7 linked regions of the Macaca fascicularis genome follow. The protein of the gene in region 3 interacts with the protein of the main gene of each other region in a pairwise test. Links are inferred from orthologs where the notes say so. Each region holds a gene or a part of one and is shown on either strand. Other genes may lie near its edges. The genes, in order: SPATC1L, GPANK1, PNMA1, RTP5, FMNL2, HOXB9 and LNX1.

What was found.
Region 1: the proteins of PNMA1 (region 3) and SPATC1L interact in binary tests that used the Homo sapiens proteins (3 or more experiments, as listed by UniProt). The two-hybrid records come from large-scale screens. The link is inferred for Macaca fascicularis from reciprocal best matches to the Homo sapiens genes PNMA1 and SPATC1L.
Region 2: the proteins of PNMA1 (region 3) and GPANK1 interact in binary tests that used the Homo sapiens proteins (3 or more experiments, as listed by UniProt). The two-hybrid records come from large-scale screens. The link is inferred for Macaca fascicularis from reciprocal best matches to the Homo sapiens genes PNMA1 and GPANK1.
Region 4: the proteins of PNMA1 (region 3) and RTP5 interact in binary tests that used the Homo sapiens proteins (3 or more experiments, as listed by UniProt). The two-hybrid records come from large-scale screens. The link is inferred for Macaca fascicularis from reciprocal best matches to the Homo sapiens genes PNMA1 and RTP5.
Region 5: the proteins of PNMA1 (region 3) and FMNL2 interact in a two-hybrid assay, tested with the Homo sapiens proteins (2 studies listed by BioGRID). The two-hybrid records come from large-scale screens. The link is inferred for Macaca fascicularis from reciprocal best matches to the Homo sapiens genes PNMA1 and FMNL2.
Region 6: the proteins of PNMA1 (region 3) and HOXB9 interact in binary tests that used the Homo sapiens proteins (3 or more experiments, as listed by UniProt). The two-hybrid records come from large-scale screens. The link is inferred for Macaca fascicularis from reciprocal best matches to the Homo sapiens genes PNMA1 and HOXB9.
Region 7: the proteins of PNMA1 (region 3) and LNX1 interact in binary tests that used the Homo sapiens proteins (3 or more experiments, as listed by UniProt). The two-hybrid records come from large-scale screens. The link is inferred for Macaca fascicularis from reciprocal best matches to the Homo sapiens genes PNMA1 and LNX1.

What each region holds. Positions count from the first base shown.
Region 1 is NC_088377.1:933,370-937,469, forward strand, and holds the start of SPATC1L (speriolin-like protein), read left to right. Parts: upstream 1-1,300; 5' UTR 1,301-1,421; intron 1,422-2,439; 5' UTR 2,440-2,884; coding exon 2,885-3,077; intron 3,078-4,100.
Region 2 is NC_088378.1:140,055,882-140,059,939, forward strand, and holds the start of GPANK1 (G patch domain and ankyrin repeat-containing protein 1), read left to right. Parts: upstream 1-1,258; 5' UTR 1,259-1,588; intron 1,589-2,183; 5' UTR 2,184-2,325; intron 2,326-2,613; 5' UTR 2,614-2,715; coding exon 2,716-3,341; intron 3,342-4,058. Other genes in the region: CSNK2B (casein kinase II subunit beta), read right to left, coding at 271-342.
Region 3 is NC_088381.1:141,640,181-141,644,412, reverse strand, and holds PNMA1 (paraneoplastic antigen Ma1), read left to right. Parts: upstream 1-1,432; 5' UTR 1,433-2,197; coding exon 2,198-3,259; 3' UTR 3,260-4,057; downstream 4,058-4,232.
Region 4 is NC_088386.1:137,802,054-137,806,250, forward strand, and holds the start of RTP5 (receptor-transporting protein 5), read left to right. Parts: upstream 1-1,397; 5' UTR 1,398-1,425; coding exon 1,426-1,583; intron 1,584-3,388; coding exon 3,389-4,197.
Region 5 is NC_088386.1:48,134,197-48,137,696, forward strand, and holds part of FMNL2 (formin-like protein 2), read left to right. Parts: intron 1-1,352; coding exon 1,353-1,587; intron 1,588-2,711; coding exon 2,712-2,780; intron 2,781-2,882; coding exon 2,883-2,963; intron 2,964-3,500. UniProt on the Homo sapiens protein: Plays a role in the regulation of cell morphology and cytoskeletal organization. Required in the cortical actin filament dynamics.
Region 6 is NC_088390.1:58,092,993-58,097,050, reverse strand, and holds the start of HOXB9 (homeobox protein Hox-B9), read right to left. Parts: upstream 2,801-4,058; 5' UTR 2,729-2,800; coding exon 2,212-2,728; intron 1-2,211. UniProt on the Homo sapiens protein: Sequence-specific transcription factor which is part of a developmental regulatory system that provides cells with specific positional identities on the anterior-posterior axis.
Region 7 is NC_088379.1:80,251,581-80,255,716, forward strand, and holds the start of LNX1 (E3 ubiquitin-protein ligase LNX), read left to right. Parts: upstream 1-1,336; 5' UTR 1,337-1,646; intron 1,647-4,136.

The sequences.
Region 1 (4,100 bases), on a different chromosome or scaffold from region 3:
AGCTACTCGGGAGGCTGAGGCAGGAGAATGGCGTAAACCTGGGAGGCGGAGCTTGCAGTGAGCTGAGATCCGAGATCCGGCCACTGCACTCCAGCCTGGGCGACAGAGCGAGACTCTGTCTCAAAAAAAAAAAAAAAAGGAAGAACACCCAGAAAATGGCATGGAACCCCTGCGGCTGATTTTAAAAGGCCAGTGTTCCAAAGCCAGACCAAGACATCACAAGAAAAGGAGATTCAGATTGATTTCCCCTGTGAGCATAAAAATACTTAAGATATTAATAAATTGAATCCAGTGCTATATTAAAAGGATAATGTGTCAAGATCAGAAAACTGTCAGAGTGTTGATAGGTCCGTGGCTGGAGAGTACGTGATGTCAGGAGAAGGCTTCCTTGGAGCGGGAAGAAGATGGCATTTAAAATATGATGGGAGGAGCCAGGGCAGGAAAAGCCATTCAGGGCCCCATCGGGCTCAGAGTGGGGGGCGCATCTGTGACTCACCCCTGACTTCTCTCTCTGCCCTGCATCCTGGACATGCAGGGGCATGCCCTCGTCAGTGGGCTGTGTCTGGGCCCCCGTTGTCTTGATCTGAGGTGTGAGCCCTGTGGTGCAGCCAGACGGGTTGGGTTGTGTCAGGAACGCTTGGGGTATGGCAACCTCCATTCTCCACAAAGCCTGACTCGAGACTCTCTCCTGGAAGCAACGTTGCCCTAATGTGGCCGCCCGGGCTGAATGAAGGTGGTGTTCTCCTTGGGGACGTCTGCACGTGAGTGCCCTTGGTGGTCCTGAGTGCCCGTCACAGGGCTGGAGGTGTGGCTGGCCCACTGGGTTGTTGGTGGTCCTGAGTGCCCATCACAGGGCTGGAGGTGTGGCCAGCCCACTGGGTTGGTGGTGGGTGCCCGTCACAGGGCTGGAGGTGTGGCCGGCCCACTGGGTTGGTGGTGGTGGGTGCCCATCACAGGGCTGGAGGTGTGGCCAGCCCACTGGGTTGGTGGTGGGTGCCCGTCACAGGGCTGGAGGTGTGGCCGGCCCACTGGGTTGGTGGTGGTGGGTGCCCGTCACAGGGCTGGAGGTGTGGCCAGCCCACTGGGTTGGTGGTGGTGGGTGCCCGTCACAGGGCTGGAGGTGTGGCCGGCCCACTGGGTTGGTGGTGGTGGGTGCCCGTCACAGGGCTGGAGGTGTGGCCGGCCCACTGGGTTGGTGGTGGTGGGTGCCCGTCACAGGGCTGGAGGTGTGGCCGGCCCACTGGGTTGGTGGTGGTGGGTGCCCGTCACAGGGCTGGAGGTGTGGCCGGCCCAGTGGGTTGTGTTTTCTGGATTACGTCCCTTCCCACGAGGATGAGATGACCCTTCTGTTACATCCCGGCTGCTGATAAAACAAGACTCTCGGAGCCAAGAAACAACACTGAGGTGATTTACTTCCCCAAGTAATTGGAGAAGCGGGGAGTCAGGGTGGGTTTCAAGCTGGTCACACTGACCGAGGACAGCGCCTACTCTAGCAGGACCCTGTGAGCCACAGCCCTGCGTGACGGCCCGAGGGGCCGTGGCCATGGGTTGGGGCCGTCCTCAGTTAGGTGCAGGCAGGAGCAGTGCAGTCAGGAACAATTGGTGTCTTAGACATGGGCGCTCGCGGTCCGAGGGGTGGACAGGCACTGCTGGACCCTTCTCATTGGGGAGTGAGGTCAGCAGGTGGTCTCCAGCCCAGCCCTCAGGGCCACCCAGCGCCCCTCAGCATGTGGGGCCAATCGTGGGGCCCATGGTGGGGCTGCCCCAGGCTGGTCTCCTCCCCAGGGTGGTCTCCCTGCCAGGCCGGTCTCCTCCCCAGGCCAGTCTCCCCCTCCAGGCCGGTCTCCTCCCCACAAGACTGGTCTCCCCCCAGGCTGGTCTCCCCCCAGGCTGGTCTCCCCCCAGGCTGGTCTCCCCCCAGGCTGGTCTCCCCCCAAGACTGGTCTCCTCCCCAGGCTGGTCTCCTCCCCAGGCTGGTCTCCTCCCCAGGCTGGTCTGCCCCACAGGCTGGTCTCCTCCCCAGGCTGGTCTCCCCACAAGGCTGGTCTCCCCTCCAGGCTGGTCTCCCCCCCGAGGCTGGTCTCACCCCAAGGCTGGTCTCCCCGCAGGCTGGTCTCCTCCACCAGGCTGGTCCCCACCACAGGCTGGTCTCCCCTCAAGGCTGGTCTCCCTCCAAGACTGGTCTCCCCTGCCAGGCTGGTCTCCTCCACAGGCTGGTCTCCCCCCCAGGCTGGTCCCCTCCACCAGGCTGGTCCCCACCACAGGCTGGTCTCCCCTGCCAGGCTGGTCTCCTCCCCAGACTGGTCTCCTCCAGCTGCCCTCACCAGCCCCTCCTTTCTCAAATGTGGGTGCCAAGGATGGGCCCTGATGCACACCAGATGCCGCCCTGGGTGCCGGGGCCCACAGGAAACTGCACTGGGATCCCTGTGTCCTGGGCAGGTCCTGTGGGAAGTGCAGCCCATGTGTTACTCAGGTGAAGGCAGCGTCCCCACCCAGCCTGAGGACTCCACACAGGGTGGACGCCCAACCCTCACTGGGCCGCTCACTGGGGAGAGGCTTGGACGCCCCCTTGGAGTGCAGTCCCGACATCCCGTACCTGCCTCATGTCCTTGGCATTCTCGGGCCCCGGTCGTGGTGTGGGAGTGGCTGCCTGTGCACACCACGGGCCTCCAGCTTCACGGCCTCAACGGGGCCACGAGCCATCGACGGGTCAGGCGGGGGTGCCGGGCACCTCATCACTAGGGCAGTGACATCACAAGGCGCAGAAGGCGGCGGTGGCTACGGAACTCCATGCCCGGGCTGTTTCTGTGGTGCCTGTGGGCTCTGGGCTCCCACCTCCATGGGGCTGCAGGAGCCGTGAGGGACGAGAAGGGACGCACCCGCCATGGCTGAGGGCGGCGAGCTGATGAGCCGGCTTCTGAGCGAGAACGCAGACCTGAAGAAGCAGGTGCGCCTCCTGAAGGAGAATCAGATGCTGCGGCGGCTGCTCAGCCAGAGCTGCCAGGAGGGCAGTGGCCACGACCTGCTCCCACCCAGGGCCCCCGCCTACCCCGAGGCCGGCTCCCCTGGGAGTGGAGGTGAGGCACCACCTGGCTCACATGGCCCAAGGGTCCAGCCTGGTGGATGGGGGGTCGTCGGGTATCTGCTCCCCGGGCGTTGAGGGGGGCGGGCAGCTCCCTGATGCGGGAGGTCACGGGCACCTTTCACACTCTCAGGTCTGAGTAAAGCAAGCCCAGGTGGTGGGTTCTGCTGTTGCCCTCAGGTGAGGCCCTTCCCCTCCAGGCCCACTCCGGTGAAGTGGGTGTGGTCAGCTGCAGTCATGGAGGTGCCGCCGTAGGGGTAGAGCAGGTGGCGTGCAGGCTTGTGGGCCTCCAGGGCCCCAGGCAGCTCTTCCAGGCTGGGCCTGGCTGGCAGTTTGCTCTGCTGCGTGCGTCTCTTCTCCTCCTGGGTCAGGGGCGAGGGGGGTGTCAGACCAGCCACACGAGTCCCATGGGTGCTGTGTCCCATCCACTCACATCCCCGGCCAGAGCTAGCTAGGCCAGCCCCGTGGTAGGAAGGTCCCACCCCAGGGAGGTCCCAGAGCGGGCCAGGGGAGCGGGTGGGGACGAGTGGGCACCTGTCCCTGGGGGGTGGGAGTGTGGGGCCATGATCCACTCACCACATAGTATTGACTCCAACCTTCTGTGGCTTTTTATTGAAAAAAATATATATAGGGTTTGATCACTTTCTGCAAAGTAGTAGGCTTTATTCTAAAAGTTTTGGGAAAACATTCCCCATTCCTGCGTGTGATTTGGGGTGTGGCTGACAGTTGTGCCCTTGACTCTTCATTGGGATGATGGGCAGAGGACAGAGGACACAGCATTTCCTGGGACTCCCACGGCCAACCTCAGCTTCCCACCTGGCTGGGCCGGGAAGGGACGTGGTCAGCCTGCCTGGTCCTGGACGATGGAGCAGGCAGCCTCGCCAGTGCCTGTGAACGCTGCTGTCTGCAAGCGCGAGCCATGCCCGGGAGGCCAGCTCTGCCACTCACCAGGGGGCACTCCAGCACCTGCGCTGGGCTGGTCGCTCCCTGAGTCCTTCCCAAACGCCAGCCACCACCC
Region 2 (4,058 bases), on a different chromosome or scaffold from region 3:
CTCCAGCCTGGGCGACACAGTGAGACCCAGTCTCAAAAAAAAGATAAAGAAAAAGACACAAATTGCCTGCTGGAGGGTGGCAGAGTCGAAACTTGGGCCCCAGTTTTGCCACTTTAGCACAGGTTCGTCGGGGGTTATTGAGGGGACTCTTCGTTGATGGGAAGTTTTCAAGTAGTATGTAAGAGAACAGTGTAGAAGTGGAATACGTGAAGGAACATCTGGTGGGAAGATATGTGAAGCCAGCAAGTAGGGAGGTCGAAGAGAACTCACTTCACAGAAGAATTCATTGCCACGGAGCCCACAGAACCAGGAAATCCAGGACACCTCCTCTGAGCTGCTCATCTTCACGTCAGCTGAAAAAAAGAGTGTCAGTAAAGCTCAAGTTCTCCTTCCCTGCCTCGGGTATCCTCCCTCCTCCCACATTAGAACCACCCTTTCTTAAAGGATCCCAAACTCTGAAGCACTCCTCTCCAACTCCTCCAATTTACATCTCAGTTCCCTTTTCTTTGACGTTAAACATTCTTTGGGGTCCCACCACTTGAAAGAAGCCAACAGATACTTTGACCCACCAGCCCGACCCACGTCCCTGGAGCTCCCGAAAGCCAGGGCCCTCTCTTCTCTGTGTCAACTCCGGCAGGGACCTCGACTCAGGCTCCGTACCAATGCAAGTCTCTGCACGACCCCGGCGCCTTTCCCAAGGATTTCCAAGTTTATCACTCTCAAGCAAGAATCGGGCGCCTCCTTTTCTCAAGGGTTGGGGGCGACTGTCAGGTCCCTTTCACCGGATTCCACACATCCCCCCTCCGCTCCTCAAGCCACCTCTCCCTCCTTGCCGGACCTGGTTGCTTCCTCCCCCCGCCCCCATATCAAAGTGCGGAGACCCATGTGCGGCTCCCAGCGACAAGCGACTAGGAGCAGCGAAGACCTCAGACTCACCAGCTGGACGGGGACCAGGACTGGGGTGGGGTAGGGAAGTTGCTACTTCGAAGGAACGGCGGCGACCGCTACAGCGCAGGCCGCGGACCCGACCGCGGCAGGCGAAGTGGGGTGGGGGGAGTGGAAATTGGGGAGGGTGGGGAAGAGGGCAACACGCAAGCGCCAAGGGTCAGGTGCCGCGGTGGATGCCGGGACGCGGAGTCCCCGGTAGAGAGAGAAACCGGCTAAGTGAGGGAAAGCGAACTACCAATCCCAGGATGACCCGCGCACGACCTGGCTGTCACGAAGCCCCGGAGGAGGACGCTTGCGGGCGGGGCGCAACGAGAAGCCACCGGAAGCGGAAACCAGGTATGGCGTTCGGGGCCTGGGAGCCTGGGCAATACAGTTGTGTGCTCACTGGGCGAAGAAGCTGACTTAGGGCGGGGAAAGGAGGGAGCCAGGCTGGACCCCTCCTCGCAGCTCTCCTCACAGTTGCCCTCTAGTCCCGACGCGGTGCTGCTTCCCTGGGGACTGGCCTATCCTTGGCCAATGCGCTGGGTCCTTATTGCCTGTTGGGCCCCTAGTGCGAGTCAGTCCCGCCAGAGACCCTTGACGGGCCTTCTGTTTTACTCCGGGCTCCGGCCTCATGAGGCGAGAGGTGCGGCTTGGCTCCGTGCGTAGGGACTTGGGTTGGGAGGGCTGGGCTGGGCTGGGCTGGGCTGGGCTGGGCTGGGCTGGGCTGGGCTGGGTGAGAACCAGAACGGCCCAGTGCGCTAACCTGAGGTGGTGCCAGCCATTCTGCTCGTCCCCTTGCACTTCTCCATTTCCCCTTAGTCTCTAAGTGTGACCTTCGAACCCTGGTCAGAGTAATGGTGAGGGGCAGGCGTGACGTTATTTCATTACACGGCTTCTCGGCATTCCACAGGTTTCCCTCCGCCTCCTGAGGGCCTTTCCTAACCCAGAGAGTGGATTCCTAGCTCCAGAAAATGGGCTTGGAGCGGGGGCCACGTAGAGGAAGGCGAAGGGCATTGTGGGGGCGTTATGTAAAAGTAGGACCCCAACCGACAGATCCTAGCGCTCGCGCCACCTGGGCGCGCGGAGCTTTGCTCGTTTACTATTGGAAAAGTTCCAGCGCGGGAAACTGAACCGGGAGCTTTGCGCACGCCTGAGCCATCAAGTAATGTGGGTGGTGGTTTTTGTTGTTGTTGTCGCCACGCATGCGTCTCCGTGCCGTGTGGCTATTTGATTGTGTCAACTCTGCTGATCAGAATAGCGCCATTTTGCGTTACGGAAGCTACACGGCAACACGTATAGGAGCCTCTCCCCGAGATCTTCTAGGGAGTGACCCGTCTATTTTTGTTTGGGAAGAGGAAACTCCGAAATGGGATCACGGAAGACTTAAAGGGCCAGGTTTGATTTTTTTTTTTCCTACTGGTATGTCTGTTTTACGGGGTGAGAAAGTGATTTCAGAAAGAGGCTGGTATTTATTGTTGGTAAGGATGGGGGTGGGGGCCGGACGCAGGACCTCTGGACGACTGTCTCATGGAGTTTGATTAATCTTTACTAAGGAGCAAAGTCGGTATTGTAGGGTTTCGTGTTTTTACGCATATACTCTCTCCCTTAGACCCTGCAGAGTCTTAAGTTGTGGGGTCACTTTAGCGGCAGGAAAGTGTTTTTGACTACTTTTTCTCATCCCAGCAGGTCCCTGAGGCTCTGGTTGCTACAGAGTCACCAGGAGCTTGGCTTGCTTGTCGCATCCTTCCCTTGCCTGGTATCATTTTCTCAGTTCTCCCAAAAGCCATGTCCCAGCCCTTCCTCATCACCTTCACCCCAGCCACTGACCCCAGCGACCTCTGGAAGGATGGGCAGCAGCAGCCACAGCCCGAGGAGCCAGAGTCCACCCTGGATGGAGCTGCAGCCCGAGCTTTCTATGAGGCCCTTATTGGGGATGAGAGCTGCGTTCCTGACTCCCAAAGATCTCAGACTGAACCTGCCAGAGAAAGAAAGAGAAAGAAAAGAAGAATCATGGGGGCAGCTGCAGCAGAAGCAGTGGCAGAAGGAGTATCAGGAAGATATGGACAAGGGAGATCCCTTGAGGCTGAGGATAAGATGACTCACCGGATACTGAGGGCAGCCCAGGAGGGGGACCTGGCAGAACTTAGGAGACTGCTGGAGCCCCATGAGGCAGGAGGAGCTGGGGGGAATATCAATGCTCGGGATGCCTTCTGGTGGACCCCACTGATGTGCGCTGCTCGAGCGGGCCAGGGGGCAGCTGTGAGCTATCTCCTGGGCCGTGGGGCTGCCTGGGTGGGGGTCTGTGAGCTGGGTGGCAGGGATGCGGCTCAGCTCGCTGAAGAAGCTGGCTTTCCTGAGGTGGCCCGCATGGTCAGGGAAAGCCATGGAGAGACAAGGAGCCCAGAGAACCGGTGAGGGGAAACTTTAGCTCAGACCCCTGTCTCATTGTGTTCTGCCTCTCCCAGCCACTCCACACCAGAGGCCCCAGCACAGTGCTGAGTTCTTTCCTTATCCTCATGTGTAGGTTGACAAGGTAGTATAGTCAAGTGGTTATGAATATGAGCTACCTGGATTTAAAGCCTGATTTCACTTACTTGGGCAAACAACCTAATGTCTACATGTTCCAGTTTTCTCATCTTAGAAATGGGGTAGTAAGGATTGTTGTTAGGATTCAATGGGTTAATATATGTAAAATGCTAGAATAGTGCATGCTGCATAGTATGCAATATATGAATGTTAGCTGTAGTCATTATCACTAGTATCCCTCCCCTTGCCCAAGAGTTTGCTAGGCCTGGTTACAATTTTTTCTTTTCAACTCTTCTGCTCTGGGTCCCACAATGGTTTAAATAAATTTGTTTTTAAGACCAGTAGTGAGAAGGAGGGGAAAAGTAGAGTAAGGAGTTTGATCTGTAACTGAGTGAACAGTCATTTCAGATAACACCACCACCTTTGGACCAGCCTGGATTCCCTCATTATTAAGTAGGAAGGAAGTCAATTTGTCCTTTTTTTTTTTCCCCAGACAAGGTTTTACTCTGTCACCAGGCTGGTGCGCAGTGGCGTGATTTCAGCTCACCGCAACTTCCACTTCCCGGGCTCAAGCATATTTTTTGTAGAAAGCAGGTTTTGCT
Region 3 (4,232 bases):
TTTGCTGCTTATGTCTAAAGGGATCGCCTATATTTAACTGCCTCAGTGACCTAACCTCTTTCTTCTCATGTGCCAGATGTTAAGATGAAGGAGGAATACAACACATGCTCAAGCCTCAGCTGTTTAGTTGTTTTCACTGGGGCTCGCTTTTCTGGGACGGTATTTATTATCAGACTGGCAAGCCTAACTCCATAGGTTTACAGGAAGTAGGGATATTTTTATAAAACAATTGTGTCCTCCCCACATTTTGCTATGTTAATATTTGCCTCTAACAATTTGCAGCTGTTTCACTTTTTCCTCATTTGTCTCTAAGTTGAAGGCCTTGTTGGAGGGGACAGAGCACAGGAACAGCCTTGACAGTCTGTAATTATTGTACAAATATTTTAATAGCATATAAATAAGTATATTCCTTTTATTTTGAAACAAAAATGATCAGACACTGCCTTTTGTGTGTTTGCTGCCTGTGGCACCCTTTTTGAAAAAGACTGTTACATATTAAAATAGTGTACATACATATAAATATTACCTCTTTTGCTGTACAGTTGTGATAGAGACTGAAGATTTTATTTTTTGTGTGCTTTTTATAAGAAAAAATTAATACACTAAAGAATCTTGCTGATGTGATTGTAATGTACCTATGTAACTTATTTACTTTTGAATGTTCTTCTGTATCTTTAAACCTTTTATTAAATAAGGTTTTAAAAATTCAGAGTTGAATGCTATGTTCTCTCGGGATTTTCACCATCTGGGGTTGATGTAAGTGGGCCTTGTCTTGCTTGCAGGGAGATTACTCGACATTTTTGAGCCATAAGGATTCTCTTTTAGCAGCCTATTGTCGATGCCAGCCAGGAAAAGGAAAATAACACTAATGTTTGCCTGGCTAAAAGATGACTCAGTAGACACAGACAAACAGATGTTTACAAAAGTTTAGACAAGAAAAAGTCTAAACTCAGTATCTCACACAAAAAATGGCGCACTCCGGCTTCATTGGGATAAAATATGCAGGGTGCACAGTGTGGTCAGGGGTAACGGGAAGCCAGGGTTCTGAGGAGAGTATTTTCACGTGCAGGGTGGACTGGCTGGGCAACCCGAGTAGACAAGTCCACCATGAGGGATGCCATGACTTCCAATAGTATCATCTTAAATGCACTCCAGGATTGGGTTATTATTTTTAAAACACGGTGCTTAGCAGTATTTGTTTGCTGTTAAAATGGAAAATTATGAAAAAGGAAATGCGCCATCAGAGAAACAAATGCCCAAGCCCCTCGCTGGCACCATGGCAACCGCTCGACCCCCGCGGGCCGCCGGAGCAGGCGTGATTCGCGCCAGCTGGGGCGCCGTTGCCATGGCGACGCCCGAGCGGCTCCGCCGCGGGGGCGGGACGGGGCGGGGCTGACGCCGCTCGCGGGCTGGCCCCATCCTCCACTGCAGCAGTAACGTCGCAGCGGGTTGCGGGTAGGACTCGACGCTGGGGCAGCCGCGCAGCGCCTGAGCCGCTGCAGGCCGCCGCGGCCGCCGCTGCCCACCCTTGCCTGTGCTGTTTCCAGCCTCGCTTCTCCGGCTTTCCTGCTCCTCTGCTGCCTTCGTTTCTGGTCCTCGGCCGTCCTCGCCGCCCGCCCAGAGGAGTCCCCGCGCCCGCCAAGAGGAGTCCCCACGCCCTCCAAGAAGCCGCTCTCCGCTGGCCCGCAGCCGCCGCGACTTCGGCACAGTCTCTCCCTCTGGCTAGTCTCCCAAACGGCCGCTCCTCGCCCGCGGGAAGACCGGGCTGCGACCGCGAACGCCCGATCCTCTCCAGGAGCCGCAGCGAGCGCCCGGCGGGCACGCCCCGCGACCACACCCCGGCTGCTTTCGACCCAGCGCGCCTGCCTTCGCCGCCCGCCCTCGCTCCTTGCCCGCTGCACGACGACGCGACAGCCCGGCTGCAAGCGGCAGACCCGACCGGACCCGGACCCAGACGCAAGATGGCGACGGCCGCGTGACTTCCTCAGCGTCCCCGAGCTCAGCTCCAAGTGTACCTACGGACTGACTGGGGGGGCAGAGAAGGGCGAGATCAGGACTCTGTGTCTTTGTTAGTCGTGAATGCATGAAGCCTACCTCCCTTGGGCCTATTTGGTGGGAGTGTCTGGTATTGTTCTAAGGCCAGGAGTACGGTGAGCCACAGTCTGTTGGTAGAATTGGCGTCTTGATAGTTGAGAAAATGGCGATGACACTGTTGGAAGACTGGTGCCGGGGGATGGATGTGAACTCCCAGAGAGCTCTGTTGGTCTGGGGCATCCCAGTGAACTGTGATGAGGCTGAAATCGAAGAGACCCTCCAGGCAGCGATGCCCCAGGTCCCCTACCGAATGCTTGGGAGAATGTTCTGGAGGGAAGAAAATGCGAAAGCAGCCTTATTAGAGCTCACTGGCGCTGTCGATTACGCCGCGATCCCCAGGGAGATGCCGGGCAAAGGAGGGGTCTGGAAAGTGTTGTTTAAGCCCCCAACTTCTGATGCTGAATTTTTAGAAAGATTGCACCTCTTCCTAGCTAGAGAGGGGTGGACCGTGCAAGATGTTGCGCGTGTCCTTGGGTTTCAGAACCCTACTCCGACCCCGGGCCCAGAGATGCCAGCAGAGATGCTAAACTATATTTTGGATAATGTTATTCAGCCTCTTGTTGAGTCCATATGGTACAAGAGGCTGACACTTTTCTCGGGGAGGGACATCCCAGGGCCTGGAGAGGAAACCTTTGATCCCTGGCTGGAGCACACTAATGAGGTCCTAGAGGAGTGGCAGGTGTCCGATGTAGAAAAGAGGCGGCGGTTGATGGAGAGCCTTAGAGGCCCTGCCGCTGATGTCATTCGCATCCTCAAGTCCAACAACCCCGCGATAACCACTGCCGAATGCCTGAAGGCGCTTGAGCAGGTGTTTGGGAGCGTTGAGAGCTCTAGGGATGCCCAGATCAAATTTCTGAACACTTATCAGAACCCGGGAGAAAAATTGTCTGCTTATGTCATTCGTCTGGAGCCTCTGCTACAGAAGGTGGTAGAGAAGGGGGCCATTGATAAAGATAACGTGAACCAGGCCCGCCTAGAGCAGGTCATTGCTGGGGCCAACCACAGCGGGGCCATCCGAAGGCAGCTGTGGCTTACCGGGGCTGGGGAAGGGCCGGCCCCAAACCTCTTTCAGTTGCTGGTGCAGATCCGTGAGGAGGAAGCCAAGGAGGAGGAGGAGGAGGCTGAGGCCACCCTTCTGCAGTTAGGCCTGGAAGGGCACTTCTGAGTGCCAGAAAAGACAGCTTTAGTGCAGACCTAGATCACAGCTAGTTTTCTTGTCCCTGTGGGGGTCTTACAGATGTGTCTCTGAGTAGTAAAGGCTTAGCCCTGTTCCGTTTTGTTGTTTTTTTGGAGGGGAAGGTTAGTCAGGCCTGAGTATTCATGTAACATTCTAAAATTGTGCAAGCGAGCACCGTGAGCTGCTACAATGCAAGTGGGTCTTGCTGGCTAAAGTGCCAGGTAAAGGGTTGGTTGGACACAGCGCTTAGTGCACGCTGTCATCATGGACATCATAATCAGTTGTGAAAAACACACGAACCTCTGACACTTCCTATTCCACACTGAATGTGAAATTGCATGTGCAGATGTTTACTACGGGGCCTGGCTCACAGGAAGTGTTCAGTAAAAGTATGAACTATTAGATTACTGATAGCGCAGATAGATTTTTCTTTACCATAAATAGTTCCAGATTTATATTGATGGAAGGAAATGTGCATTTATTAGCTATTACTCAACTTTACAATGCAAACATCATATTTCTCATCTTTAAACATGTCGATCAGTTTAATTGAAAAGTATTCTGAGACTGCAAAATGGGGTGTTAAAAAAATACTGCAATTACGGAGCTGTGTAAACCAGTTTCTCATTGCATAAGATACAGATGTAAATTGCATGGAGAGGTTGATATGCACCTGTACAGTAATTCACTTCCCCATTTCAGATCTTTGTCAGAGAATAGTTCTTGTTCATACTGAGTGTTCTAAATTTGAAGTTATATATACAAATTAAAATATTTTAAAAATTCTGTTGTCTTCTCATTTTTCTGGCATGTATAAACATTTTTAGCCTAAGTAAACTCTGTCCTTTTTTCTTATGAAGACTTTGTCATTAAACCATTTATTTTACTCTTAAGCTTTGTATGATACTATGTGAATTTAAATGGCAAGTCCTTTTTTTTCCTTCCCCTCTTGCTGTCATCT
Region 4 (4,197 bases), on a different chromosome or scaffold from region 3:
CAGGCGGGCCTAAGACTGGCTGGAGGGCGGCCATCCTCCCAGCACTGATGGACAGAAGAAAGTGAAGCTGGAATGAGAACACGGGGCTTTCCCTGGCACTCTGGCCCTGCATGGAGGCCCCTTCCCAGAGCGCTTCCTAATGGCTTCCTCTTCCATCTTGCAGTCACACCTACCTGCAAGGCAGGAAGATGTCACAGATTTGAAAACTATGACAACATGCACTCACTTGCCAGCGTGAGCTGCAGAGTGGACAGAGACGAGGAGATAATGCGTGAAGTGGTAGAAAAATGAGAAGAGATTGTTCAGTGTGCAGAGCAGAGAGATGGTGAGATGGGAGCTGTGAGGAGAGCCGGGCGGCCTGGAGGCTCCCGGGGGCAGATCTGTGCTGAGCTTTTGTAGGGATCGCCGGCTGCCTCCGCCCCTGCACGTGCCAGCTCCTTCTCAGCTCGCCCTTTCTTGTTGTGCCCTGACAGGTGGCTGCCATGCACAGCGATGCCACTGAATCTCACAAACTAACCTGAAAAGGTGTGAGAAGCTGGGCACACACATGGGGTGTTTACGTGAAGCTCAGAAGCTGCACAGCTAAAGGGCTCGGTGAGGGAGGCATCACAGGTGTTGAAGCCTCATCGTGGTCCGTGCAGGCACGGCCAGGCTGGTGGCACCTCTGCCAGGAGGGTGGGGGGTGGGGGTGGGGCCGCGGGCTGAAATCGGGAGCGAACAGGCAGTCGGCTCTGGAGGCTGGCAGAGCGAGGTTCTCTTTCTTCCTCTGGGAGGTGGTGACTAAGACTTTAGAATAATTTGTGAAACTCTGCATTTATGTTTTAGGCATTTTATGTAAATATTTTATATTTCTCACTAGTAAAACGTTTAAGAGAATACACCCACGGGACAATCTACAGTGATACACGTTCTATAAAGTTCTTCTCAGCTTTGTTTGTGTGAAAAGCGTTAGTGCTGTTTGCAGAGAGAAGCTGAGTGAATAAGTTACATGACAGCCACAAGCTGGAAAAATACGAAGTGTTCAGCAAGGGATGAGTGTGGGCCACCGTTCCTGGTGCGCAGTAGAAAGAGAGGGCTGGGGATGATTCCTTAGAGCGATGTGTGGAAACACCTGGGCCTCTACACGCACAGGTCTGGGGAGGCCCCTGCGTGTCCACGGGCCCCCCACGGTGCTGCCGCCCCCACGGTGCTGCTGCCCCCACGGTGCTGCTGCCACAGGGATGCTCTCTGGGTGGCGGGGTCATGGGAGATTGCATTGTATTGTATTTTTCCTTTCTGCTTCCCATTTCTTGGAGACAAATCTGGTTGCCATGGAGACCGTGCTGTTGTCAAGGTGGCTGATTGGCCGGCGCCGGATGCAGGGATGCTTCCTTGGGCCCCCGGCGGGCGCAGCCCTCAGCCCGCACTGCGGAGCCAGGCGGCAGCATGGACGGGGCTGGGGCAGACATGTGGGCCAGCACCTTCACCCTGGCCATGGCCGAGAGGAAACCCCAGGACGTCTGGGTTCTGCTACCTGAGCACAGCCTGGTCCCAGGACGCCTGGACGGCGGTGGCGTCCAGTACCTGCTGGTGGGGCTCTCGAGGTGCGGCCAGAGGCTGGGGACCCTGGGAGAGGGACGGGGCTGAAGGTGCTTTTCCACAGGACTTTGGGTGGTCCCAGAGGCTGGGTGGGGCTGTCGGGCCTCTTCTTGTCCCTGAGACGGGAGGGGGGACTGGGTGCTCCTTCTTTCTCCCGTCTGAGCCTCTGCCTCGCCATGCTGGGCACACGGCTGCTGACGCAGGGGTCCCGGGGAAGACATGGCAGGTGCCTCGTGGAGGGTTTGGTTTCCCTCACTCGGCTCCTCAGGCCAGCGCTGCCCGTGGACACAGGCTTATCTCCTGTTTCCATGGCAGTGCCGTGGCCTCGAAGCTGTCTGTGCTGACAGGTGGGCCCTGGGGCGTGCCGGTGCCTGTGGTCACCATCCAGCCCTGCGCTGCAGACGGTGGGGTGCTCGGCCCTGATCGGGGGCCCGGGGTGGCTGTGAGTCACATGTGAGCCTCACGGGCCATCGTCATGGTCGTGGTGCCGTCAGCACAACAGGGTGGGCCCCATCTGCTTCTCTACCCGGCAAGGCATCCACAGCTCTGCCAGGAGCCAGCCGGGAGGGGCGCAGGGCAGCTCCACAGCCTCGCAGACGCCCGGCCTGACAGGCCCCCAGGCTGCCGGCTGGTCAGTCCCTCTGTGGAGATGCCCTGGGCAAAGGGGGAGTCATCCTGCCCTTGGACACAGCCCCTTAGTGCCTGAGACCCCTGGGGCCAGGTGTGTGTAGAATCCCAGCTTTTTCAGAAGTTGGGAAAGTAATAACCCGTGTTGGGGTCTGAGAAGTGCTTGGAAGCACATCACCGTTCCCACAGCCAGGCGGAGATGGCTCTGAGTGACTCCCAGCTGGCGGAAGAGAACTGAGGACGGGTGCCCCAACATGAGCCCCAGCGCCTGTGGCTTTGGCAGGCTCCTCAGTCCCATTTAAACACAGTCAGCAGTTCAGTTCCTCCAGCACGACCGTGTCCACGGGCTCTGTGGCCAGTGTGGCTGCCGGCTGCAGGTGGGGCAGTGTGGCTATAGAACATTCTGTCATCCAGAAAGTTCCACTGCGTGGAACTGAAGCAGAGCCTCTCATTCATGCAGGGTTCCCTGAAGCTCACAGCTGCTTGTGTGGTTAGCAAATGGTCACCGGTCTGGTGACTGCTGTGGACAAGCCAATCTCTCCCAGTGCTCTCCCCAAATCTCCCCTCGCCTGGCGACGCCCAGCAGGGCTGCCTGGGCCATGACCGCAGGCCTCAGTGACGCCCTTTCCCTCAGCTGGCAGGTGACGGGGGGATCACCTCCTCTCAGTCAGGACAGGGACCCCCCTTGCTGAGCCCCCAGGGACAGCCCCCAGATGCATGCTTTTCCCCTTCTAAGTGTGTCAGCTGGCCTGCCTCTTCCTGTGTTAACCCCAACTCACAAAACACCAGCAGAGCCACGCGGGCGGCAGGTGGCCGACACCTCACAGAGGCCAGGCCAGAGCGGGTTTTGCTGCAAAACTGCTGAGAGGTTTGCTTTGCTGAGAACAGCGCTCCAGATGAGGGGGTTGCAAGCTAGCGTGCATGGGCCTGCGTTTGCCCGTGTGGCCAAGGGGCTGGTGGTTTCAGAGCCTCAGCACAGGCAGGAGCAGGTGCTGGGCCGCCTTGGCCGTGGCCCTGGGTGGCTGGCGGGTGAGGTTTGAGGTTTGGGGTTTGAGTGTGGGATGCGAGGCAGGGGGCAGCGAGGCGCTGGGGTCGGATGGGCAAGGAGGCCACAGAACAGAGCGCGAGGCCCGGCCTTGGGGTCTCTTACTGCTGCACTCACACGCACCTCTTTCCCCCGCAGGCTCCAGTGCAGTCGCTGTCCGGGGACCTGGGACTCGGCCCACGTGCATGTCCTTTTCCACCTGTGGTGGGACAGGGCCGGCCGCCGGGGGCTGGTGAAGATGCGCATCTGGGGCCAGCGGTGCAAGCTGTGCCCTGCGCCCGGGGACTGCCAGGTGAGGCCCCCAGGCGAGCGGCCCTTCCTCAGCAGGCTGGTCTTGCACATCCTGCAGGACTGCTACGGGGATGGCCTCGGCCCAACCCGGCACCCCAGGGAGGCCTACGAGGGCTGCTGTGAGGCCTGCGAGCTGGGGGTCTGTTTCCTTCAGAAGGCCCCAGACCCTGCCTGGAGCACCAACACCACGACAGGCAACTTCCCTGCCATGGCCTGGGGTGGCACCGGCGCCGTCTCCAGGGGCAAACAGCTGCCCACCTCCGGCGATGACCTCGGCAAGGGTGGTGGTGTCATCGCCATCCCCTTCTCCCTTGTGCGCGCCAGCAATGACCAGGTGCCCATCGCTGAGGGCCCTGCAATCCCTGCCTCTCTTTCACAGGAGGCCTCTCTCCCTGTGACCGGCAGCCATGGGGCTCTGGTCATTGGCCAGGGCTCCATCTACCTGTCTGGGGATTCTGTGGCCATGCCTGGGGGCAAAGGCTTCCCAGTGGCCATTGGAGACCCCCTCTTCCATGGCCCCGGCCTCCTCGGCAGCAGTATCCAGACCTTCGAGCTCAAAGGTTTCCTTTTCAAGGGCCGGGGTTCCCTCTGTAGCCCCGTTGGCGTGGCCCAGGGCTGGGGCCCCGTCTCCCTCAACAATGGCCTTGTCCCTGCGG
Region 5 (3,500 bases), on a different chromosome or scaffold from region 3:
TTTTAGAAGAATAACATCTGGATTGTGACATCATTTATTATCTCTTATGCGGGCCTCCAGCAATGCTTACATAAAAGGAAAGTTGAGCTGAGTGTGGCAGATGTTAAGAAAAGGTAGAAGATGTCAGTTTTCTCTGGAGTATCTGAATTTTATCCAGATTTGTTGAATACAAATTTGATGGCATTTGTGGAATGATACAGTTCAATGCCAGACGCAAATATGATACAGATGCATATTTTAATTCATAACAACAGGAATGAATTGTTTTGCTTTTAGTACTTTCAGGACATTTTAAACAAAGTTCATTTTTTACTCTTGAACTGCATAGAAGGCATTGGTTTTACTTCTCTATTAGAAGAATCCTTCTATTCTTGTGGCCATGGTGACTTTCAAATGTGACGAAGACATTATTAAATGTTTTAGGAACTAATTATTTATAAATGGATTATCTTGTAAATTTTGGTTAGTGACTTAGAGGTGTAAATGACCCTGAGAAATCCTTTGTTCCAATTTTGTGTCCTCAGCCAGGGTGATAATCTCGTAGTCCAGTGCCTCCTACAGTCTGTTCTCATTTCTGACATTGAATGCTGAAGTGCAGCCTGGCTTTGAATCTTTATATATCTTGTTTGTCATGATGATTAAATGTAATTCTATTATTTAGCTGAACAAAGATTGTCCAGAGAATAATAGAGAATAGAGATTGTAACAAATACTTAATTTGTTCAAATTAAGCATATATCCAAAAAGAACTTCAAGGAATGTACACACTTAACCTAAAACATTCAGATAATACAGGCATTTGGATGCATTTTTTTCCCAAAGAAGAAAAACTGCTACCAGACTATTGGTTGAATTGAAATATTTTACATAATTCAGCAGATATTCTGTGATAATGTGTACAGTGTTAATCTCCTGAATTAGCAGTAGTACTTCACAATGCCTGTCAGCTATGTCCTTGAACCATTAAACCATCAGATGCTTTGGCCTTGGTTCTACCTCTTCCTATTTTCATTTACTCCTGATTCCAGAGGCTTAGAGCTATGCCAGTCCCCTAAAAACTGAGGATGGCAGTTGTGACAAGGTCCAGGTTTTCAGGAAGAACCAATTAAGTTACCTGAGGCATAGTTAAGCCTCAGCACCAGGACCAGGGTGGGACTTCACAGGACAAGTGGAGAAATCTTAGACTCATTGATTTGGTATTTGCTGAGCTGTACCAGATGGATGATGGATGGATGAACCTGAAAAGGATGGATGGATGGATGGATGGATGGACGGACCTGAAAAGGATGAACTTGAAAAAGGGGTAGGAGGTTTTTTCTCTCTAAGGCTAATCTCTCCACATCTGTCTTTAGATTTGACTTGAAGACACTGCCTGTAGACTTTGTGGAATGCTTAATGCGGTTCCTGCCAACTGAGAATGAAGTGAAAGTGCTTCGGCTCTACGAGCGGGAAAGGAAGCCTCTGGAAAACTTGTCAGATGAAGACAGGTTCATGATGCAGTTTAGTAAAATCGAGAGGCTCATGCAGAAGATGACCATCATGGCTTTCATTGGGAACTTTGCTGAAAGCATTCAGATGCTGACTCCTGTGAGTGGACCAACTCTGGCAGGGGAGGGGGTCCAAAGAAATGTGGAATCATAATTTTTTAAAGTCTCTCCCAGAGGTGCACTCAGTGTGTTGGGTTCTAAAGACTCCGTCCCAGAACTTTCTAAATTGTCCATCTTTTCCACATTATGTATGAAAAGTAAATTTGAAAAAATGGGGAATGTTCATATTCCATATTGCTGTTCTTCCGAAAGAATGCCATTTTTTTGTGTCTACAGATGTTCTCTAAATTTCAAAAGGCAGAGGACAAAGAAACTTGGTTCTTTTCTCAAACTTGGTTCCCCCCTGAAGATAATAGTGCTCTGACGGGGTTGGCAAGAGTGAAAATGTGACTTTCATTTCTAAAAATGATGCCCTCTCCTTAGTGAGCAGACTTACAAGCTTTTGCTGAAAGCTTTAAATTTACCATAAGAGTTTTCTTTCTTGTAAGTGTGTTACAGTAAACTGTGGTGATATAGACATAATAGCCAACCATCTCTCATTCCCTTGTGTTAATCTTGTGGAGATTTATGAATATCATAAACTTCAGTTCTCTCCCAATTCTGTTTCTAAATAAACTGTTACTGATTATAGTAGTCAGTTCTTTCCCAATTCTGTTTCAACATAAATTTGTTGGTTTCTGCTTATAGTAGTATGTCTGTTGAAAACATGTTCTGTGAACTTCTGGAGGGTATTATATTCCCCCCTGCCTTTTTTTTTTTTTTTTTTTTTTCTCATTTTTGATGCCTCCTCCATTGATTTAAAAATATTAATTGTATGACATGATTAGAGGTGGTGGGCAGGAAATTAAGTTCTACCAGAAGAAGCTATGGACTCTTAACTCTGAGTCTTAATGGTTATAGATTGGTTACAGATTTTGTGACAAGCAAGTTCCTACGTTGCTATTGTGAACAGTTTCAGTAAAGACCTTGCATGTAACAATATTACCTGAAACCTAGCAAGACAATTAAATTTGTTATACTTTGGAAAAGTAGACTCTCATCATGAAGATTGTATGCTCTAAATGCAGGCCTGTTTTCTTCTGTGTTAATATTTAATTGCCAATTAGTTTCCCATTTTTAACATGTCTTTTTCCCCCCCTTTTTCTTTCTTTGATTGGAATCTAGCAACTACATGCGATTATAGCAGCATCTGTCTCTATAAAGTCGTCCCAGAAACTCAAGAAAATTCTGGAGGCAAGTGCAGTTTTTCTTGTAGGTATGAAGGGCTACTTCAGCTGTGTTCAGTGCCTGATGTGCTGAACTGATGGGCTTCTGTTTTCACCTTCTCTTTTGCAGATCATCTTAGCCCTTGGAAACTACATGAATAGCAGTAAAAGAGGAGCAGTTTATGGATTTAAACTTCAGAGTTTAGATCTGGTGAGTGGACTAAAAGAAATCTGAGAGCTGTCTGAAGGACAGATGGCTGGCAGAGATGAAGTTAGGGTGGTGGGGGATGTTTTGATGAATATTTTCAATTGGTACTAATTTTCTGGAACACCATTTGACAGAGAGCACATAGAACCTGTAATTACTTATACCCTTTGACTCAGTATTTCCATTTCTAGGAATCTTTTCTCAAGTGTCTGAATTTTGAATGCTGTATTTTATTTATAATTGCAAATTAACAATCTAAAGGTCTATGGGAATGATTAAATGTGCTGTAACGCTAGTTAATATAGTGAACTATTATTCTTCCACCATTAACATACTGATAAAGAGTGTTCCAAGAAAGGTTTGTGTTTAGAAAAGAAAGCAGGGTATGCTTTGCATGTACAGTTGAATTTCAGCTAAGTAAACTATGTGGGGAGAAAGACAATGGAAGTAGGTTAAAATATTAGCAGAGGTTGGATGGAATCAGGGAATTTTTTCAAACTGTTTTTGTAAGTACTTTTCTATATTTTCTTAAATTTTTTC
Region 6 (4,058 bases), on a different chromosome or scaffold from region 3:
GAGGTGAGAGGAGGATTTGGGTGGGGAAGTGAGATGTCTGTTCAGTTACCACATTTGGGGTGTCACTTCACCCCAAGAGACCTTTCAGCCCTTCAGTCTAGTCCCAGTACACCCTGCCTTGATCACAAACTTGTGTCTCTAGACCACATGGCAGCAGGCATGTGTGTCTGTGTAGAAATCTCCCCCTCTGTTACCACCACACACCACAAATATGGGTCTGCACTTAGAGCCACAAACAGGCAGCACACTCCAATTCACACGCAACGCAATTGCAACCATTTATCAACTCCAGCCTATGGACAGGGGAGCGCCAGGGGCTCACAGATAACTTATGGTTGCAATAGTCTCTCTCCTTTTCAGCTCCTGCTCAGCTCACAGTTTGGCTAACACAAGTTCAGGGAAATTGGGGAGTAAAATTGCTCCAGTCCCAAGGTGGGGAGCCAGGGGTGATGTGGAGGTAAAAGGAAGCCCTTCACAGCACACCTAGCCTTAACTGGTCCTATGTGGGGGCTGGAGGGGAGAAGAGGGTAACTGAGTGGAAGAGAGGAAACAAAAATATATACAGGCTTCTCTTCTTCTTACCCTCTCTCCCCCTGCTCTGGAACTCAAAAAAGTTGCCAAATAAAGCTAAGCCAATTAAAAATAATAGCCACCAGCTACTAGCTTCCTTCTCCCCAAGTGAAAAACACTGGATTTTTTTTATATATAAAAAATTTGGTTCATCCTACACTAAGTACCCTGTCTTACCAATTTGCAGTGCTATTTCCTTAATGTGATTGCCTGGGATGGGACCCGCAGCTGCATTAAATATGAAAGAGGGAAAAAACTGTTAATAATTGATTCTAGCCAAATGGCTGCCTTGCAATAATGGGCTTTTCAGGGAGAGTTTGGGGTTTTAGGGTGGTGGGTCGGTTTGGGAGTGTGCGGGGAGAGTTGGGGAAGAATGTCTTCCCCAAATGCCAGCTCTTAGGATTCCACCTGGCGGGTTGGAGGTGACAGGACCCTGCAGGGAATGGAGCAGCTCTTTACTCTCCAGCAGGCAAGGATGCACTAAAGAGCCCTGGGGCCACTCCGTCAATGGGAAACCTAGCAGGGCAAGGAGAGACGAAAAAATCCCTACTTCCCAAAAAGAGTAAGAAACGAGGACTTGATTCACCAGCCTGCGAGTCATTGTTTGGGGCTGAGTTCCCTCGCCGAAGGGCCCTTAAAAATAAGTAATAGGAGAACCCTCTCTTCTCACCTAGTAGCACCTCCTGGAAATCAGCCAGACTTGGCGTTCTGACTGGGGTGCTTTTGAGGAGTGGGAGGTGATGGGAAACTACCCATAAACGGTAAAGTTCTCCGCCTCTCTGCAACCCTCTCTTCCCCCACCCCTCCTCTCCCCGGGATGTCCCGATATTCGGAAGCGATTCCCCGACTCCCCAAGAGGCGGACAGCCCGGGCTGGGGCTAGGGAGCCCCGCAGAGAGCAGCGGGGTGGGGGAAGGACCGCAGAAAAGGAAGCGGCAGCCCCGGCGAAGATGCCGAGGAGGAGAGGGGCCACCAGAGGGAAGGCTCCCGGGGAGGGGCCGGCGCATCCGGGGAGGGGGCTCAGTCACCGCGTCCTGGGCTTCCCCCGCCCCTCCCGGCGCCGGTTGCGGACTCTGAGCGGCTACAGCACGAGATCTGCTAGGAACAATTCTCCGCCAAGCTGTTGCATCGCAAATAAAATCCTAATGAGCCCCCTCCCCCTTCCCCTTGGCCGGCTTTTACGGTCTGCGCGTGGAGCGGGGAGCTCTGCCAGCCGCACGGTCCCGGGCAGCCCAGTGCGCTCCGGCCCTTGCCCTCGCCGGCTCTCCGCCTCGCTGGCCGCTGGCCCCCGGCCCCACCAGCTCCTCTCCCGGCCGTCGCCGGTCTCTGGCCGGGCTTTCAGCTGGGGCCTCCGGGAGACAGGGGAAAGAGGGCCGAGAGAGCTGCAAGTCGATCCCAGAGCCCCTGTTCCCCGCACGACTTGAAGAAGTGGGGGCAGCGCTCCTCTGGCGGCCTCAGTCTCACCTTCCAGAGCACGCAGCTTTCCCCCTTCCCTCCGACTTTCCTTCCTCTCCCCTCCTCCCGGCCCGCTCTCCGGCCACCGCCGCAGTTTCCCTTCACATGGTCGGCAGTTTATTGCCTTTCCCCTCCCCGCCCCCTCCTGGCCTTCGGCCTGGGTATTTCCTCACTTTTTATAACTTACTTTGATCCGGCCTCTCTTTGTCCTCGCTTCCTTCGCAAATTTTATTGTCCCCGTAGCCGGGTCTTTGATTAGACAGCACGGCCTCCCTGCCCGCCGAAGTTTCCAAACTGTACTCGGGCGTGCCCTGTTTAAGCAGCTCCCCAGGCGCGCCCAGCAGCGGCTCCGCCTTCACCGCCGCCTGGCCCTGCCCCGGGGCCGCTTCGCCGCGCGGCGCCGGCTCCAGCCAGGTGCGGAGGTACCTGCTCTCGGCCGGCGGGACGCCCTGGGGCTGGATGTAAGGGTGGTAGACCGACGGCAGGCTCCCGGACGCGTGCGGGCTCAGCGGCGCCCAGGAGGCGCCGAACACCGGCGCTTTGGGCTGGAAGCTGCACGAGGGGAACTCCAGGTGCTCCGCGTGGCCCGGCTGCCGCGGGCTCGCGTACTGGCCAGAAGGAAACTTGGCTGGAGGCGCGTCCTCACTCTCGTGACTTATGATCGAGTCGACATAATAGCTGCTAAGCGTCCCAGAAATGGACATTCTCAGACATTATCCGGGCGCTCGCAGGGGGAAGGGAAGCGCTCGCGCGGCGGCGCCCAAGCAGGGAGAGGTGGCACCCGGACCGGTGTGAGGGCTTTCGGACGCGACCCCCCCAGCCCCCCACCCTCCCACCCCCACCCCCTGCTCAACTTCTCAGCCAACAAAGTACAGTGGAGCAGCCAGGCTCAGCGCTCCTTGCAAAATGATTGGTCAAAGTTTTTCCGACTGCCTGATAAAGCGTCAGCTCCGACATAAATCAATCGGGCGAGGGGGCTGCGCTCTCGCTGTCATCCGTCCGCACCGCATTCCATATCGAGGATGGATTGTTTTATGCTGATGCAATGTGCTATCACGTCAGGGCTCCGGCGGCCACGTAACCTCAGCCTGAGCTGCCGGCTGCCCGGTCCCCCCTCCCGCTGCAGGAAGGGGGGCAGTTCTCGACATGGGGCGGCGGGGGCGGAGGAGAGGCGGAGGGAAGCGGCGGGCTGCCTCGGGAGGGACGCAGGCTGTGGAGCCCTCTCCCCAGGCGGGTCGGGGAGGGAGGGAGAGCAAGGGCGGAGGGAGGGAGAGAGCCCCAGCCCGGGGAGCAGCCACAGAGGCCCGAGAGGATACTGGAAGAGGAGGTGGTCCTGTCCCCCCCAACACACACCTCCACCTCCACCCCACAGGCCCTCATTTCCTCTTCTCTGTCCCCTTGACAGAAGATGTTTATTAAACAACAGCAGCAGCAGCAATCCACAGGAGATGAAGTAAAAGGATGAGGGGAAAAGTTGGGGATTTTAGGACGTTGTCCGCTTTGGAGGGGGCTCTCTGTGCACTATTTGTAGAGATTTACATGACTGGGAGCTTCCCTGGACCCCTCAGTAGCTGAGGGAAGAGGAGAGAGGTGAATAAAACGGCTGAGTGTCCAAGAATCCACTATTTGTCCTGAAATTAGAAACTGCTTGAGGTTAAAGGGATCCATCAGGCCCCGGAAACGTGAGCCTAGGAAAGAGTTTAATACAAGGAACCAGAGCGCCTTTACATTTATTGGGCCTTTCTGACTCTGGCCAGAAGGATGGATTTAAGATGGTGGTGGTGAGGTGGGGGCGGCGGGGGGGGGGGGGAATTGCCATTTCTCCTTTTCTCCACTGAATAACTGAATAACCACCCAGGCCCCTAAAATTGCCCTGATGAAGGAGCTGAATAGCAGAAAGGGTTAAGGACACTTCCCTGAGGTGTCACCAGAGTAGAGGCCTGGGAAAGGATCCCCAGTCAGCAAGGGAAGGGGTCCCAAGTTATCTCCCCTTCCATCCAAAGAGGAAGGAGCCTGGGCTGAGTTTTCAGCCCT
Region 7 (4,136 bases), on a different chromosome or scaffold from region 3:
AGCAATTGAAAATAAAGATTAGGGGTAGAACCAAAAAGAGTCAGAAGTGTGACCTTAGGACTGAAAATACATGTGCTGACTTCATCTCACCAGGCAGAATTTTCCAGGTTGGCAATTTTGCCTCATTCACTCCGTGGATTATTGATTAAAAGAAACTTGTAGCAGCTGGCTCCGAAAGTCAAAGGGACAAAGTGGCAATCAGGCCATGACCAAAATGCACACAGAGGCCAAGGAATTTGCAGTGTACTTCCTTGTTTGTAAATCAGAGTCACAGTGGAGAGCTGAAGGCACCGCAGCCAGCGGCACCACCTGTAATTAGGGAGCCACAAGTACCTGCACTCCATGTGTCTTTCTTGCATGTTGCACATACATAAGATAACACCGAGCTCCCGATTCACATCTCTGGAAAGAGACTACTTAATTCACTAATTATTCACATTTCTACTTAGAATCGAATTCCCAGAGCTTATCGCTTATTTAAGCAAAATCTTTGGCCATCACTGGAGCTGTCATCCCACAGAAGTGCTTAAGCAAACCAGTGGGAAAAGCAAAACTCAGAAAAGCACACTTCCAGAAGCGCAACGTTTACATTTTTAACTAGCTGGGTCACTTTGCAGGAACGACTTAATGTCTCTAATCCTCAGTTTCTTTATCTATATAATGGGAGTGATAATTATAGATTCTGTTGAGAATTAAATTAAATAATGCAGGTCAGGTAATTACTACAGAACCTGGTAGGCAGTAAGCACTTAATAAATGTTAGCAAAGATGTTGCAGCGGCTGACAATGATGGCGATGGTAATGCTGAAGAATGAGCAGAAGAAATCCTTATTTAAACAATCATTCTGTATCTTTAGAGTTAAGAGTCTTAAGTAGTATCAGCCACAAACTTGCTCAGTCTTTTTCTTTGTCCACAAACATTAGCCAGTGTTCAGTTATGAGCAATACTGCCGAGAGAAAATCTTTGAAAGTTTTGGCAAGGTATTGGAACAAGTCAGAACTACTTATTTGCCTGATATAGATTTTGGTGCATGTCCCTTTTCATATTCAAAAATAAAAGATGCCCAGGATTCTAGGGCCTGTCCAGTCAGCAGCCCCTGCCTATTAGCATGATAATGTTCCAGACCTAATGATGGCCTGAAGGTGTGGTGACCCTGTGTTTATTTCCTTGTTGATTTCCCTTCTCTGGCTCCAAGATCATTTTCCCATTGCCCACAGGAAACAACATCTAGGGGCGAGGTAGGCCTGACTTGGCAACCCTAAAGGTGAACAAAAGGATCTTGGCTTTTGGCAAAAGCAGAAGGAAGTTCAGGGGCGTCTCAGCCCCATCCAAACCAGAATAGATTTGTCACTGATGCTAATGCATGCTGCTCTGCAGGGGACCACTCTCCCGCTAAGCTCTCCATAGCTGCTCTCAGTTTTATGAATCTGCTCTACCCAAAGCCTTGCAGAAGGGACAGGGGATGCCCTGGTTAACCCCTGCATGTACAATGGTGGAGCAGTTTTGATGCATAGCTGGGACACAGAATACTGGAAAGAGAAAGAAAAATTTCCTGAGCTACTGCTAAGCCAGCAAAACTCATCTCTCAAACGGACTATCACCTGAGACTTCACACAGCTGGGAACTGATCCGCAATACAGCAAAGGTAAGATGGCCTAGTTCCTCTACAAGGTAGAATCTCATACCATTTTTTAAAAATGTCACCTCTGCCCACTCAGCCCCCAGTTCTCACCTCTCTCTCTCTCTCTCTCTCTCTCTCTCTCTCTCTCTCTCTCACACACACACACACACACAGACACACACACCCCCCAAACTGAGGAGAGTCTAAAAGATGGAAATATCTAGGTGTGTCTTTTTGAAAACACTAGAAACGCCTTGGCATTTCCTCTCTTTATACCCTATTTTTTTCTGCAGTGGCCTTCATTCAAAGCTTATTTACTTTGACAAATGAAAACGACTTGCCAGACAGATCAGTAAAAATATAAGTAATCCCACTAACAGTAACTGGGTTTATGCGACAATATTCTTTATCGGTATTTAAAACACATTCACACACAGACTTTGTTTCATTCCACAGTAGGAGTAGGTGTTGCATTGTAGTTTTACCCATGGATAAAGAGGTTGAGAGAAGCTGTGACCTGCTCATGGATGTGTAGAGTTGTGGGTGACCAGCAGCACATCCTGTCTTCATTCCTATCTCTTTTCAGTAGAATGGTGACCCTACTCTTTACAGAAAATTCCAGACTACATTCTTGGCCATGTATTCTGACAAATGGTCTGATGAGAGGATGGAATTTTAGAAATTGGAACTCTCAGGAAAATCCAGAAATAGATAGCCACAGTATCCTGTACAATACACCACCTTGTCATGTATTCCTGTTTACTTCCATTCCTGGGCATTGAATTCAGTTCAACAAATGTCGATAAACTATGTTCCCTGCTCCAACACTGACTGGCTCATATGTCAGGGCGTGGTGCAAGTCCTGTGCCCAAGGAATGCTGAGGCAGTGCAGAGTAGGATGGCGGGGTGGGGGGCTTCCCTAAAGAGGTGAGCTTCAAGTAAGCTCAGCATAAAGAGTGGACTTGGATTGAGGGAGAGCATTCAGATACACAAATCCCCCGGGAGGAATTTGTTGAGTGAACATTTACTTACACCAAGTCCATGGTGGCAGAGCTGAGGGGCAAGGAGCACAGCCTGAGGAATTAGACTGTCTGGCCTTGACTCTTGGTTCTACTTCCCACTAGCTCTGCATCTTGGAGTACCTCAGTTAACACCGCTAACCTCACCTTGCCAATATGTAAAATGAGAATGATGGTAATACATCCCTCATAAGGTTGTCTTCAGCTGTGAATGATTATGTATGGGAAGTCTTTCCTGATGCATAACAACTGCACAATAAATATTAATACTAACTAGTGTGATGACCATGTGCCTGGCTCCAAGGGAGATGCAGGGAATACAGATAAGAGGAGGCCTACCCTCAGTGTAATCAAAACGTCATGAGTTAGTTGTGTGCAGCTAATGACATGAGATGTGATGCATGCTCTGGAACCACGAGGGTGGAATCTTTTAAGTCTGTGTGAGTTAGGGTTGGGGTTCTGGGGGGACAGGGAAGGGGGCAGAGGTTTCACAGCAGAGGCCCTATGTGTAGGGCGGTAGTATAGATCAGTGAAAAGAGCTAGACAGATCTAATTTTGAATCCCAGTTTCCTCCTCTATTTACGTATCTATTTATTTCTATATTAATCTATATGTATTGAAAGCCATAAATTCATACTGCCAATTCATACTTCCAATTCATACTTCCAATTCCAATCCAACACTCCCTTTCTACATTTGTAACTCCCTTCTCTAACATTCATCAGAAGCTGGCTCCCATTATCCTTAATATATTATATGCTTATTCACTCAATCCCCCAAATGTCATCAACTGCCATCATGACACTGTCCCCTGCCCCATGCAGACGCCCTCCGCACCCTGACGCTTTGTTCTGGGCCGCCCTGAGCTGGCTCCTGGAATTCTGGAGCTACCATATGTCCTCCACACGCGCACAGGTGCCTACTTTGCTCAGCCCTATGTAATGTCTTTAAGGACTGTGACACATGCTATACATTTGTGTATGTACCTGTGTTGTCACTGTCTTTGGAGGGGGATAGAGCTATCTCCTCCATACAGGTAGGGCACATGTCCTCAGCATCAGGCCTGAAGAAGCCAGGCTCATTCCATTCATTCTATTCCACTTGGTCTGCTGATCTATATGGATGTGGACTGCTCACTGTATGCTCGGGGTAGTAACAACATTTCCAGGGGTGAAAAGTACTATTTGGGCAGTCACTGTTCCTTTTGCTTCTCTGTCAAGTCCTTGTCTAGGTTCTCCATTATTCATTTACTTAACAACAGATATGAAGCACTTACAAGGTAACTGGTGCTTGGTTAGGGTGGGACATAGAGATTTAAAACCTTAGTCACCACCCTCAAGGAACTCCCAGTCCACTGTGGGAAGCAGACAAGCCATAAATTTCCATTCCATGTGGCCAAGTGCAATGAGAGCCTACACAGCCTGCCATCAGAGGGCACCTAGCTCAGACTGGGTGGGCACAGAGGAGATACCCAAGGGGAATCCTAAATGGGCAG